Linked DNA regions of Cricetulus griseus. The protein of the gene in region 1 interacts with the protein of each later gene in a pairwise test. Links are inferred from orthologs where the notes say so. Each region holds a gene or a part of one and is shown on either strand. Other genes may lie near its edges.

The links.
Region 2: the proteins of Nupr1 (region 1) and Ranbp1 interact in a two-hybrid assay, tested with the Homo sapiens proteins (2 studies listed by BioGRID and IntAct). The link is inferred for Cricetulus griseus from reciprocal best matches to the Homo sapiens genes NUPR1 and RANBP1.

What each region holds. Positions count from the first base shown.
Region 1 is NC_048596.1:74,153,678-74,160,520, reverse strand, and holds Nupr1 (nuclear protein 1), read right to left. Parts: upstream 3,830-6,843; 5' UTR 3,742-3,829; coding exon 3,630-3,741; intron 3,285-3,629; coding exon 3,154-3,284; 3' UTR 3,141-3,153; intron 1,982-3,140; 3' UTR 1,754-1,981; downstream 1-1,753. UniProt on the Homo sapiens protein: Transcription regulator that converts stress signals into a program of gene expression that empowers cells with resistance to the stress induced by a change in their microenvironment.
Region 2 is NC_048597.1:71,005,467-71,012,582, reverse strand, and holds the start of Ranbp1 (ran-specific GTPase-activating protein), read right to left. Parts: upstream 4,059-7,116; 5' UTR 3,915-4,058; coding exon 3,900-3,914; intron 2,718-3,899; coding exon 2,581-2,717; intron 1-2,580. Other genes in the region: Trmt2a (tRNA (uracil-5-)-methyltransferase homolog A), read left to right, coding at 4,612-4,674, 4,857-5,395, 5,843-5,951, 6,290-6,471, 6,630-6,744, 6,825-6,940, 7,022-7,116. UniProt on the Homo sapiens protein: Plays a role in RAN-dependent nucleocytoplasmic transport. Alleviates the TNPO1-dependent inhibition of RAN GTPase activity and mediates the dissociation of RAN from proteins involved in transport into the nucleus.

The sequences.
Region 1 (6,843 bases):
CCTGAGAATCCCAGCTGGGTCACAGCCTTCTGGAATGTCAATGAGTCAGCAAGTACTCTAGCCACTGGGCCTACCTAAGTGCAGTGGACTCCAAGCTCTGCAAGTAGGGTTTATGTGGAGAAGGGGCCAAAGGCTCAGCCTAGGGCTGGAGCTAGGGCTCTTTCCTCTCACTTTGGCCGGGGATGAGTATAAGTGATGCTTCTTGTTCATTTTTTCAGTATTCTCCCTCTCCTTCCTCTAATAAAACCCGCCTGCACCCAAGCTTGGGTTAGCACATGACTGAACAGCTAAGTATGGTATTTCCTGCTTCTCTTCAAGTTGGGTGCAGCATGTGACTAAACTGTGAGCAAGCACTGTATGTTCTACTTTCAAATGGGGCCCTTAAAAATGAGTAGGGAAAATGGGAGTGGTGATAAATGCCTGTAATCCCAGCACCCGGGAAGTCAAGGCTGGAGGACCACTGGAGTCCAGGAGTTTTGAGACCAGCCTGAAAAAGAGATCCTCGGTCTCAGAAAGGGGGAAAATATGTGTGGCTTCTTGTAACCTCTTTCCTGCCTTTCCACAGGCTGAGATGCAGATGTGATGGCAGCTACTAAAGCAGCTATTTGGGGCTTCAGAGTAGAAATGTATGGAGTGTGGCAGACAGTAAGCTAAAAGTAGCAGGAGCCCCAGTACAATAGAGTTGCCATCTGTAATTTAGGAATATTTACTCTTGGAGCTATTCTGTGTGAGAGAACTTTCTACCTGGTTTTGTCTCAGTGTCATTACAGCAGCCCTAACTCAGACCTCAGTAACTGAACACTTGGTTCCGACCATCTTCTCATTTGCTTCACTCTCCTGGAACTCTGGTCCTGAGAACCACCAAGAACCTTTACCCCAGTGGACCGGAACCCTGTCCTGGAAGCCAGCCTGTTATTACATGCTTGGATTTGAACCCTCACCCACTTAAAAAAAAAAATCCTCCCCATGTTTTTTTGTTTATTGGTTTAGTTTATTTTGTTTTGGAGACAGGATCTCTCTGTGTAACTCTGGCCATCCTGGAAATCACTCTGTAGACCAGGCTGGCTTCAAACTGAGAGATTCACCTGCCTCTGCTTCCCAAGTGTCAGGATTAAAGGCGTGTGCCTCTACCTCCCAGCCAATACTCCCCATGTTTTAAATCTTTGGTTGTTTCTTTTTTCATTTTGCAAATGGTATTAATAGTAACATTCTCTTTTAAAAAAGCAGTTTTATCTAAATATGACCTCATCCTGTACGAGAATGTGTAGGGGCTGGCCACAGTTTGTCTCCGGGGTAGCAATGCAAAGAAACAAAATAGTTTCCCACAAAGAGACCACAGAAAGAGGCACCCAAAAGTATCTGCATACATTACAGAAAGGTACCAGTACCAGGACCTGCTCAGTCTCCAGTCCTACACAACAAGGAAACTGCCATTCCAATACATACCCAAGAGAGACACTCCATGAACACATCCAGACACAAAACAGATGACACCACAAAACACAAGAAAGCTGTCGCTGTTATACTGTTTATTGTTGCTGCTCATAGTCCAATCCAAGACTAAACTTACAGCCCTTGTTTCCTCTTAGTTGACTTAAAAATCTCTAATTTTGGAGGTCACACAACAAGGCAATACATTACTGACAATACAAAGAAAAACAGTGAGTGGCAGTGGGGGTACCCAGCACTTCACCTAATGGGTGTAGGTGCGCTCCAATTTATGTCTGGTTTCTCTCACATTTCTTTTTGGGGGTACTAGTTCCCCCATTCTTGCCCTGATTGTTGCTCCGATCGTGCCCTTTTGCTGGATCTAGAAGGGCTTTTTTGGTGTCCCTTCTCTAGAACCTCACTTAGGTAGGAAAGAGTCAAACAGGTCTCTGTCTTTGCCTGTATCTCCTAATCTCTCCAAGGTCCTAATCCATTGCTGGGTGTGGTTGTCCTGTTTCCATTGCTGGGTGTGATGTCTGTGGTCTGGCCTCATCTGTGGAGAGAGAAAGCAGGTGGTGGAAGGGGCAGAGACCTGGGTTTGAATTCTGGCTTCCCTACTTATTTTTTCTGTAGCCTAAGTGAAGTACTTGACTCTGTTAAGATTCAGTTTCCCTTTCTGTAAGCCAAATTTCCTCCCAATTGGAAAGGCTCTATGGGAAACTTCCCCCATTCTGGTCATCAGAGTGGAACTCGGAGTTAAATACGGGTCTCATTCTTGCTGTAGATGACACCCTATTTTTTTTTTCTATTTACTGGAATGTGAGTGTGCATGCATGAGTATCTACACATGAGTATTCTCATATGCTTGGGTCTCTGTGAGCATGTGGAGGTAGGTCAGAGGATGTTGAGGGCATGGTCCTTGTACTCCCAGAGAAGCACTAAGAGAACCAGGAATGTTAATCACACAGGGTGTCTCCTCAATGGAGGAGATGAAATCAAATACCTGCATTCCATCCAGAAAGCTGAGAGTGGGTTTGTTAACAACCTGGTGACCAGGAGGCAGGCCTCACCCTAATTCCCCAAAGTGATTATCCCAGACTCTTCCCTCCCTAGACCATTACCCATCCTTGGGGGGAGATGTCACAAGTACTTTACAGCCTGCTGACCTCTATGCTGTTGGTCAGAGATCACACTAGATTCTAGGTCTTCTAGCTATAGAACCCATCCTCATGGTTACATGTACTTTGTAAAGGAGTCTCTACTGAGTCACGCTTTAAGTTTTATTGTGCAACTGGAATTGAACTGATTGGATTGATTGTTGCGTGGAAACCTTTTCCCAAATTGTACAGAGCTTAAAATAGGCTGACAGTGAACCGCCTGGTATTAGCCTCTCTGAAGCCTGATCCAGGTTGACAAAGTTGATCTGCACTAGGTTTTCGTTCCCATCTCTTCTCAGGCTCGATTCCCTGCCTGGATACCTGCAGGGTCCTCCTAAGGGGAGAACTTGCAATTGATTCTCTCCCCTTTCATCATGTGGGTCCCAGATGTCTAGCACAGGTTGTCACTGCTGGCAGCAAGTGCCTTTACCTACTGAGCCATCTCACCAGCCCAGGGCTTGCTTTTGATTCCCCACTTCCTACTCAATTACACTCTTAGGCCTGTCACCCTAAGCAAAGCCACTTTTACTGGCTCTCTGGCTCGTGACTCCTCACCTCCAGCTCTGCCTCAGCGCCAGGCCTTTTTCCTTTCAGAGTTCTGGAACTTGGTCAGCAGCTTCCTCTCATGCCCACCAGGGCTAGGGCGGTTGGTATTGGCGGCAGCTTCTCTCTTGGTACGACCTTTCCGGCCTCCCCCGACTGGTGGAGCAACAGGTAGAAGGGACACGGGCAGAGGAGAGGTGTGAGGTTCAGAGGACAGACAAATGCCTGGGGCATAGGGATGAGAAGGGCAGAACAGCCAGAGGGCAGCTGGTGGTCGCCCTGTGAGGTTGGGGCACTCTATCCCTGCTGTTTACTAATGTATAGAATGAGAGATGCTTAGAAGCGAGCCCTCAGAGCTGAGGAGGACAGAACTCAGTATACGAGGCTAGATTGGGTTTACTTTGGGGTAGGGAGCAGATTAGTTAGAGAAGGCAATCTGGGAGAGAAAATCCAAATCCAAGGAGGAGGATGAGAAGTCAAAGAGCTGCCCAGCAGGCCTACCGATATAAGGATGGGCCAGGCTGTACTGGTCATACTCATCCAGGATGTCATCTTCATCCTCTGGGTTTAGGGGTTGCTGGGAGGAGCTGGTTGTTGGTGGCAAGGTAGCCATCACCCTGCTCTGCCTTCTCCAAAGTCTTGCCTGTGTCTTGTTTTCCAGCTGTCTGCCCTCACCCAGTTCCCTCACCCCTGCTTATAAAGCTGTCTCCTCCTCAGACCACAGGCTGGCTCCCGCCCTTCAAGTCCTGTCTGATGCAATCTGGCCTTTCCCCAGAACTGGGCCCACAGACGCCAGCCCTGAGCAGAGAGGCACACCCTGCCCTTCCTCCTCCCTCACAGGGCTCACCCAGGCCCAGCTGTGTTTTTCCACATGGAAGACTCCTGCCTCTCGGGGAGGAGGGAGCAGACAGGATGTGGGCACAATCTTTGGCATGTTGGCCAGGGAGAGCAGAGGGCCTCAGATGGGCCACTCCTTATCATTTCAACCTCTGCCACAAGCCCTGCCTGGCTCTAGGTCATGGCTACACATTGCTCCCACCACCACTCTAGTCTGGTTCAGACTCAGGACTTGGTGGCAGCATACACCCTGAAAAAGGAGAGAGGAGGGGACAGTGACACGCTTCATGCCAGGTCAGCAGTTCCTATCCAGTCACACCCAAGGCTTCTATTTTTATGGAAAGTCCCCTTACTGTACTTCAATAGAGTCCCTAGGTACTTCCCCTCATCCAAGGAGATGCAGGCTAGCTAGCTGGTAGAGACAACAAACACCCTGGATTCAACACTCTGACCCCTAATCAACCTTCCTCTGCTCTTCCTTCTGACAGAGTCCCGTTATATAGCCCAGCCTGGCTCTTGAACTTGTAATTCTCTTGCCTCAGCATCCCAAATGCTTGAATTAGAAACTCAACAAGTCAGCTGAGATCCACTGTTTCCTGTGTGACCCTGGACATGTCACTCTCCCTCTCTGATTGTTCCAGTTTCCCCCTTTAACAGAGGATAACCCTACTGAAGGGACCAGACCCTCACCCAGTGCCCTGCTTTAGCAGCCATGACAGGCTGCAGAAAAGACCCAGCAAGATGTAGGCTTCTGACTCAGCACATGTACATGTTTGACCTTGCCAGACTGTGCTAGTCACTAGGAGGTCAGATACCCTCCACGTGGCAAGGAACCAATCAGAAGTTAGCTGGTAGGCTCTGGACATGCTTTACAGTAAAAGTGGCATAACAGTGGCATACAAAGTATAGCAACCGCCCTGGGAGGGCCATAACAACCCGTTGACCAATCAACACAGAATAGGTCATCCAAGCCTGGAAGTGCACCAATCCTGAGACTGTTGCATACCCTTAGACACTCCCGTCGCTCTCCCCAATAAATTCCCTGCCTCGAGGCCCCTTCAGGTCCTTCTCAGACCAACTACTGTGTTGGATAGATGAGGGAACCCAGTTAAGACAGTTAACTAGTTAAACAATAAAAGACTCTTTGCTTTTGCATTGGAATGGGTCTCGGTGATTTTGGGGTTCAGAATTTGGGCACACCTATCAATCTTGGTTGGTGAGAGTCTCCAGTGACATAATGCCTGGAAAGGCCCTTGCATTAGCTGCAAACAGCGTAAGGGTTTGTCCCAATTTCCCATGGTTTCCCATGCAGTGCCCTCACTGTGACAAAAAGAAGAGTGGAAAAAGAAGAATTTAGAATAAAATAAAATATTGTGGGCTCACAATATGGCTCAGTGGGTAAGGTACTTATCAACAAGCCTGGCAATCTGAGTTCAGGGGTGTCCAGGACACAGTGTCCCACATATTGTCCTCTAACCTTCAAATGCCCATACACACACATACAAATATATAAATGTGGCTTTTAAATGTTAAGTAAAATAATATATTGATGTGGAAGGCATGATGAAACAAACAGGTCTTTGTACGCCCCCACCCCCGCCCCATTTTAGGCATTCTTAATTTGTAGCTGTGGATAGCTTAGAACTCTCTCTGTAGACCAGGCTGGTGCTGAGCTTGGTGATCAACCTGCCTCTGCCTCCCGAGTGTTGGAATCAAAGGTGCACATCACCACATCCAGCCAGTATGAATTTAAGTATGAGTTAAGTATCAAGTGTTTTCCGTCCACACTGGCCTCCCCTGTGATGGATTATAGACAGGCATGTGCCACCAGTCTTAGAATTTTTGTTTTGTTTAAAGACTAGATCTTATCATGCTGCTCAGGTTAAGTCAATGTCCTAGGTTGAAATGATCCCCTTGCCTCAGCTTCCTGAGCAGTCGTGGCTACTAGTGTATGTATGTACACCATCATGCCAGGTCTTAGGTGGGAACTTGATAAAAGTTAATATGAATTTTAAGTTCAGAAAAGAAATATGTGAAGCCAGACAGTAGTGGAGCACACCGTTAATCCCAGCACTCAGGAGGCAGAGGCAGGCAGATCTCTGGTCTATAGAGTGAGTTCCAGGACAGCCAGAAATATACAGAGAAAACCTGTCTTGAAAAACTAAAAGAAAAAAAAAGAATCATATGAAATGGAGTTTTCTATTCTCTCTCTCCCTCCCTCCCTCTTTCTAATTGAAAAAAAAAAAAGTTTTCTGTCTGGAGAGATGACTGAGCAGTTAAGAACACAGGCTGCTCTTCCAGAGGACCCAAGCTCAATTCCTAGTATCTACATGGCAGCCAGAACTGTCTATAACTCCGGTCCTAGTGGCTCTGACACCTTCATACAGACATAGCAGGTAAAACACCAAAGCATCTAAAAAAATTTTTTTTTTTAAGTTTCATACAATGTATTCTCATCAAGGTTTCCCTTCCCCAACTCCTCCCAGATCCTCCCCGCTCACCCAACTCCATCACTCTTTCTCTCTTTAGGAAACAAACAGGTAAAGTAATCACAACCATAATAACCATGAGAAATATTAATGAAAAAATGTTAAAAGGAGGACATGACTGCTCCAAGGTATGGTTGGGGAGAGGGTTTATTGTAGATACAAGGGAAAGCACAGCCAGAGGTATCTGGAAGAGTCCAGACTGAACAACAAGGCCATGAGAGGAGAGAGGGGGAAGCAAGGGAGGAAGTGAAGAGAGACAGGAGAGGAGAGCTAAGGGAAGAGCCTCAGACCGTGTGGCCAAGAGGCAAAGAGAGTACCTGGAAACCTGGAGATCTAGAGAGAAAAAGGAAAAGAGACTGGTGTAGCCAAATGGCTGGGTTGTGTAGGAA
Region 2 (7,116 bases), on another chromosome or scaffold:
AGCCAGTAAAGGAAACATTTAGACAGAGAGGGAACTCACACCTAGACCAATTACCCCAAAAGAATACATGTTTTCTGGATGCTGAACATAAGGGTACTGTTGGGACGCTTTTTCTAAGGCCTTTGGGCGCCAAGAATTACTAGTGAGAAAACACCACCCAGGGAAGCAAATAGCCTAGCACATTCCATGTTGCGTTTACTTCACAACCAGAAAGATATTCATAGCAGAAGCATTTTCCCCAGGAGAGGCATCTAAGGGCACACATGGCTCAAGAGTGGGTAATGAAGCTCCTGAGAGCTGGGTGACGCAGTCACACTACATGGGTGCCTTTTAGCTACACAAAGCCCAGCACCAGCTTCCTGTCAGGAGTAACCTTTATAGTCCCAGGGTTCAGGCACCTAGACCAGTAGAGTCCAGTGCTCCTGTTCCTCAAGCCAAGTCAATACCTTCCTTTGTAGCCCTCATCTGCTTCTCCTTCTCTGTCAAAGCCTCTGCTCTCCTCCAAACTCAAGTTTTGTCAAAGGAGCCTACATCTTCACCCAACTCCTTAATAGAAAAACCCAAAAGCCCTGATTGATGTAAGACCCAAGATTCTGGCCCCCAAAACACACCAAGGACCCTGCGCAGGAAATCAGGAGTCTTGCAGCACTGAACTGTCAAAAATCAAATACCACCTAACTCCAGGGATGCCGTCCTTGCCCAGTGCTGCAGAACAGCAATCTGGCTCATCATCTTCTGGGTACAAAGGTGTACTTATAGCTTTCCTTGAGCAGGGCTCCCTCCCCTATTTCAGAGCACATGAACCTTAATCTGACATTTTAGACATACCTGAAAGAGGGAGATGCCAGAGGCAGCAACACACAATCTTTGCTAGCATGTACCTGAACCCAGTGTCCAGCAATTCCGAGCACAGGCAACAACAAGCCAGTCTCTGCTGTGATGTGAAACTAGATACACGATAGCTCATGCTCAGCTATCTTGGGTGATGGCACAGGTCTGTAATCCCAGATATTAAGGAAGCTAAAGCAAGCAAATGGCAAGTTCAAGACCAGGTGTATAGAACTGGAAAGGTGGGGCCCGCTGGAGATATAGCTCACTATAGTATATGCCTAGCATGAGTTCAATCACTGGGCCAGTAGAACAAGACAACAGCAAAATCAAAGTTACTAAAATACTGCTACAGTTCCTCATTGAAGGTTCCAAGTGGCAAATACAAGGTAATCTTTAAAAAGCAATTTTGATAATTAAGCCACTTCTACTGGCATTTTGTGTAAGACACAGAACCAGGCACATGCAGACTACAGGTTTGAATGCGTGTGACCTTATGGTTTAGGCATTAACTTAATTTCCAAATTCATATTAATAATATTTAGAAGTGTCCTTTAGAAGGTCAAGAGGATTAGATGGAATCAAGAGGACTGAACAATGGCACTAGTGGGTATGTAAAAGACAGACTGAAATTAGCAAGTTCCTTGATTTTACTACATTATACACTGCCACATTAAGACATGACTGAGGCCCATACCAAATGCTAGCTCTATGCTCTCAGATCTCAGACTTCCTAACCTGCAAAACCATGAGCTGGAGGCTGGAGAGATGGCTCAGCTGTTAAGAGCACTGGCTGTTCTTCCAGAGGACCACATGGCAACTCAAAACTGTCTGTAACTCTAGTCCCCAGGGATCCGCTGCTTTCTTCTTGCCTCCTTGGGCACCAGGCTGCACATTGTGTAGAGACATCCATGTAGGCAAAACACCCATACACATATAAAAATTAAAAAAAAAAAAAAAAAACAAAAACAAAAAAACCAAACGAGAGCTAAACAAACCTGTTCTTTAAGGATACCCAGTTAAGGCAACAGAAAACAAAGCAGAAAGGAAGAAAAGGAAAGAAAGTTAAGATTCCCTGCTCAACAAAGGAAGGAAGCCCCCATCCCCCAAGAAAGGGTCTCATCATGTAGCCCTGGCTGTCCCTAGAACCCAGAGATGTATCTACTTCTGTCTCCCAAGTGCTGGGATTACAGGTGTGAACACCACAGCCTGCTGAAATGCTGATTCTTAGAGGCAAGGTGCAAGATCAACTGGGGAGACACCCAGGTGACAGAACAATGATGGGGACACCCTTTTCATGACTGGCCATTAGGAAGCACAGGCAGCAGGAAAAGGTTTGGCAGATGCATGGCTGAATTGTCAATGTAAGACTAGTCACCACACAACTCCAGACCTTTTCTTAAAACAGCCTTTATCAAACTGGGGCCAAGCCGTGAAATTCACAGGGATCATAAAGTGCCAGTCAACCCAGGGTTCTTCTGCAAAGTTCCAGACAGAGATCACAAAGAGGTTAATGCCATAGAGTACCACGAGGGCTTACACTCAAGCACAAGAGAAACAATATCCAGCAGAGCTCCTAGCTTGGCTGGCTGGCTCCTCCAGAAAGCAAAGAGGAGAACATGGTCCCACTGTGATTGTTGGGTTCTACAAGTTTTTAAAGAGATGCCCTGTGACCGGCTTCTTATTGGGCCATTTCTCTCTGTCTCATCAACCCATCTAAAGATACTTCCAGGGACACCTCAGCAGACTTACATCTTAAAGAGTTCCTCTTCATCTTCCTCCAGTGTTTTAATTTCTTGCTCAGGAAGAGAAACTATTGGCTCGAACTGGGGGTCATGGTTGGATTCATCTGCGTTTTCTGTGGAGGTATCGTGGTCCTCATGACTATCCTGTGCAGAGAGGGAAGGAGAGATAATGCAGCTGGCTGGTGAACTTGGCCCACAGTGGGCATCCATCATCAATCACAAATGGCACCTGGAAAATGAAGACAGGCCTCCCCTAAACTGGAAAATAAGTCTTCTGTCTTTGACATCACCAGTTTGCATTTACAGCATCACAAAAATCACAAGATACAAGATAGCATGCAACAAGACAATGGATTATAACACCCACCCTGCACATCCAAGCATCAATCAGTTCCACACACATACCACAGTCCATGGCAAAGTAGCTTGGGAGAAACTCCCTTTCTCCTCTGTAAATGATTTCAAACGGAAGAGCAACCTTAACAGTTTCTACTGAGGACTATCCAAGCACTTGTTAGTTTACTAGGAAGATAAACTGCTATGGGACTACTAGCATTTACATTCCTCCAGCAATTTTACACGCTTGGAAATTTAAGCTGAAAGAAGCTAAAAAAAAAAAAAAAGAAAAAAGAAAAGAAAGAAACTGACAAATAAGCCCTAAGATCCCGACCCAGCTTGAAGGATTGCAAGGGCATGCAGGTTTAAATCTGACAAGATCACGTGCTTTGATAATACAGAAAAAAACCCAGACTCACACTACCTAACTCCACAGGATAAAGACATAGAAGCCCTTCGTTCGGTTTCACAGCACTGCGGCTCCGCTGCGGCCGACACGCGAGCCACCAACAAAGCCGCCCCCGCCCTGAGTCCGCGCGTCTAATAATCTGTACCCCGCGCTGGAACGCGAGCTTCCGCCACCGAAGGAGGTGGCGGTTCCAGGCGTAATGACCGAATGAATGAAGGATCTGTGGGCAACTGGAAGAAGGGTTTCCCGATGCTGGTGGAAACATCACAAGGGGGCCAAGACGAAGGAAACCGGTTGCTGCCAGGCCCCCAGGCAAAGCCGAGAGCCCGGTGTGGTGATGGCTTCTCTTACGCACATCACAAGGTCACGCGCCGCCCCGCAGCCCCCGAGACCCGAGTCTTGGCCAGCAGCTCCCACTCCCGGAACCCAAAGACTTCGAGACCCCCAGGTCCCGGCGCCTCGACAGGCCCCGAACCCGCAGGCCAGCGAGGGTTGGCGGCCGAGGCGCGGGCCGCCCACGTGGCCGCCCATAGCGGCCCTTGCCTCCCGGCCTGCCGGGCCCCACCCGGGCCTCGCCGTACCTTGGCGGCCGCCATGGGGGCGCGGCGACGGCGGCTCGACTGGCTCAGGCGTCGCGGCTCGGCGGCCTCTGGGCGGGCTAGTCGCAGCTCCTTTTCCTCCGCGTCTGGCGCCGGCGTCTCCCGCCCGTCCTCTCTTCCCTCCGCCCCCCGACCCGAACCCTGACCCCTGACCCCAGCGGCGGGAAACGCGCCGTGATTCAAAACCACTGCAGCTTTATTGGCTCTGACGGCGGACATTCATTGTCCGGCCCACCCCGCGCTTCCCGCCAAAACGCCCGCGGCGCATGCCCGGCCGCGCCTCAACCTGGGGAGCGCGCTTTCCCGGCGACCCACGCGCGCACTTCCGTCGGCAAGCCCTAAATGTCTCTGACGTCAGTGTGAGCGGCTGGTGGAAGGATCAGTCAGGAGTCGGCGCGTGGCGGTGACGTCATCGGAAGCCGAGCCCTTCGAGAAGCCAGGCGCGGCTGGTGTGCACTGGCCTACTAGAGGAAGGCGAGGCGTGTGTCTCTCCCTTGCTTGTGGGCAGCGGATGGTGCATCACCAGTGCTCAGTGCTAGTTCTGAGCACCCGAGTTTTGAGTACCCTCTCCTGCGTAAGGAGAAGCTGGGGTATACCCTTACGGCGTCACACTTAATTCCTGAGCACTTCGTGTGTGAGACTTAGGTGGTGGCCCTCGTGAGCACCCTGGTCCGGGCGGCAGACGAGCCTGGCGATGAGTGAGAAGCCGGACACGGAAGTAAAGCAGAGGGAGAGAGATGCAGAAGATGTGAACCTGGTGGGGTTGGGTAGCAGTCATTAATGTTGGAACAGAGCTAGGGTGGGAGAAAGGAGCGGGTTTGGGCAGGGCTGGGGGTAGTGTGCTCTAATGTAGATCTGGCAGTGTGGTTTAGGGAGCTAGCCCAAGGCGATAGTCATGCTAGCTACAGCCCTCAGCCTGGCCCGTCTGTCCCCACACAGGCTCGGGAGCACATGGAGGGCTGCGGCCCAGATGCCAGTGCAGTACACAGCCCTGCAGTCCCAGAACGTCAGGAACAGTCTGGACCAGCTGCAGGGCCTGCAACTCAGCCTGGGCTCTACAGCTACATAAGAGATGATCTGTTCACCTCAGAGATCTTTAAACTGGAGCTGCAAAATGTGCCTCGCCATGCCAGCTTCAGTGATGTCCGGCGCTTTTTGGGCCGTTTTGGTCTACAATCCCACAAAATCAAACTCTTTGGACAACCACCATGTGCCTTTGTAACATTTCGCAGCGCTGCTGAACGAGACAAGGCCTTGCGAGTGCTGCACGGCGCTCTCTGGAAAGGCCGCCCACTCAGCGTGCGCCTGGCTCGACCCAAGGCTGACCCCATGGCTAGAAAGAGGCGGCAGGAAGGTGATGGTGAGCCATCAGTTACACAGATTGCCGACGTGGTGACCCCTCTTTGGACAGTACCCTACTCCGAGCAGCTGGAGCAGAAGCGGCAGGAATGTGAACGGGTGCTGCAGAAACTGGCCAAGTGAGTGTGGCACTGACGTCCCTACCAGAGCTGGGTTTTGCTCTTGGCCTACTCCACCACCCTTATAGTCTGTTCAGGACACCCACAGGGTCTAAGTCTGCGGTTCTCAGCCAATGGGTCATGTCCTCTTGGGGCCAGTCAAAAGGCCCTTTTACAGAGGTCATCTAAGACCACTGGAAAAGATATTTACAATTAGTAATAGTAGCAAAACTAGTTATAAAGTAGCCCCCAAAATCATTTTATGGTTAGGGTCACCACAACATAAGGAACTGTATCAGAGGATGGCAGCATTTGGAAGGTTGAGAACCACCTAGTCTAAGTGATCAACCAAGGAGCTAGTTAGTAGTGCCCCTATGGTACCAGTGGGATAAGTCTCAAAGGAACTGCCTCATGTGGGTGGGGAACGGTGTAACTCCAACCCCAACCATGATGTGCTTCATTCTACAGGGAAATTGGGAGCACTAACCGTGCCCTGCTACCCTGGCTGCTCACTCAGAGACAACGACACAATAAGGCTTGTTGCCCACTGGAGGGGGTCAGGCCATCACCCCAGCAGGTCAGGCTGTCTACAAAACTTCATTCTATTGCAAGGGGAGAGGGAGGTTGGCCTTGTTTAGTTTTGTCATGCAGTGCTGGGGTAAAACCCAAGGCATCACACATTAGGTATATACTTTAATGCTAGGCCAGTCCATCATCATCCTATTTTCTATAAACTTTCCTTATCCTCTTTGCCATTTTCTTGCTATTTTCTTCCTGGTATTAGACAAGCCAGCAGTAAAACCTTGTTTTGCCTGCCAACCCTATCAGGGTCTCTTGTTCACTACGGTGTTTCTTCTGGTGCTGGGCAATCGAAGTTGAGATCTGGCTGCCTCTTTGCCACCTTCTCTCCTGCAGACTGAATATCGTAATAAGTGTGAGTTTCTGGTCGGAGTTGGGATAGATGGAGAAGACAACACTGTTGGCTGCCGGTTTGGCAAGTACAAGGGTGGAACTTGTGCTGTGGCAGCCCCCTTTGACACTGTGCACATTCCAGAGGCCACTAAGCAGGTGGTGAAGGCCTTCCAGGAATTCATTCGGTGGGGACCTGGCCTGGGGATGGGTTCCTGGGAAGTCCTAATCCATCTGGGAGCAGAGGGTGTGGTGGGCCTTGCCTTGGCAGTTATGGGGTGAGAGGCAGGCTGCTGGGACAGACAGGCTCACACTAGGTACTAAAAGACACTTGTGGCTTCCTCAGGTCCACCCCATACTTGGCATATGACCCCGAGACATATACAGGCCACTGGAAACAGCTGACTGTTCGTACCAGCCGCAGAGGCCAGGCCATGGCCATTGTCTACTTCCACCCCCAGGTCTCAGGCAGTGGTCTTGTTGGGGGAGGTCTTGTTGGCTTTTGCTTAGTCTGATGGACTTTTTGTATTTTCTACTGCAGAAACTGAGCTCAGAGGAGATGGCAGGGCTGAAGGCCTCCCTGGTATACCATTTCATGGAAGGACCAGGCAAGGCCAGTGGAGTGACTTGCCTCTACTTTGTAGAGGAGGGACAGAGGTGAGGAGCCCAGGAGGGGACAGGAAGAGTCTTCATTCAGATAGGCCAGTGACACTGACAGATCTGCTGCTTCTCATGTAGGAAGACTCCCAGCCAGGAAGGCCTGCCCCTGGAGCATATGGCTGGTGACCAGTGCATCCAGGAGGACCTGCTGGGACTGACCTTCCGCATCTCCC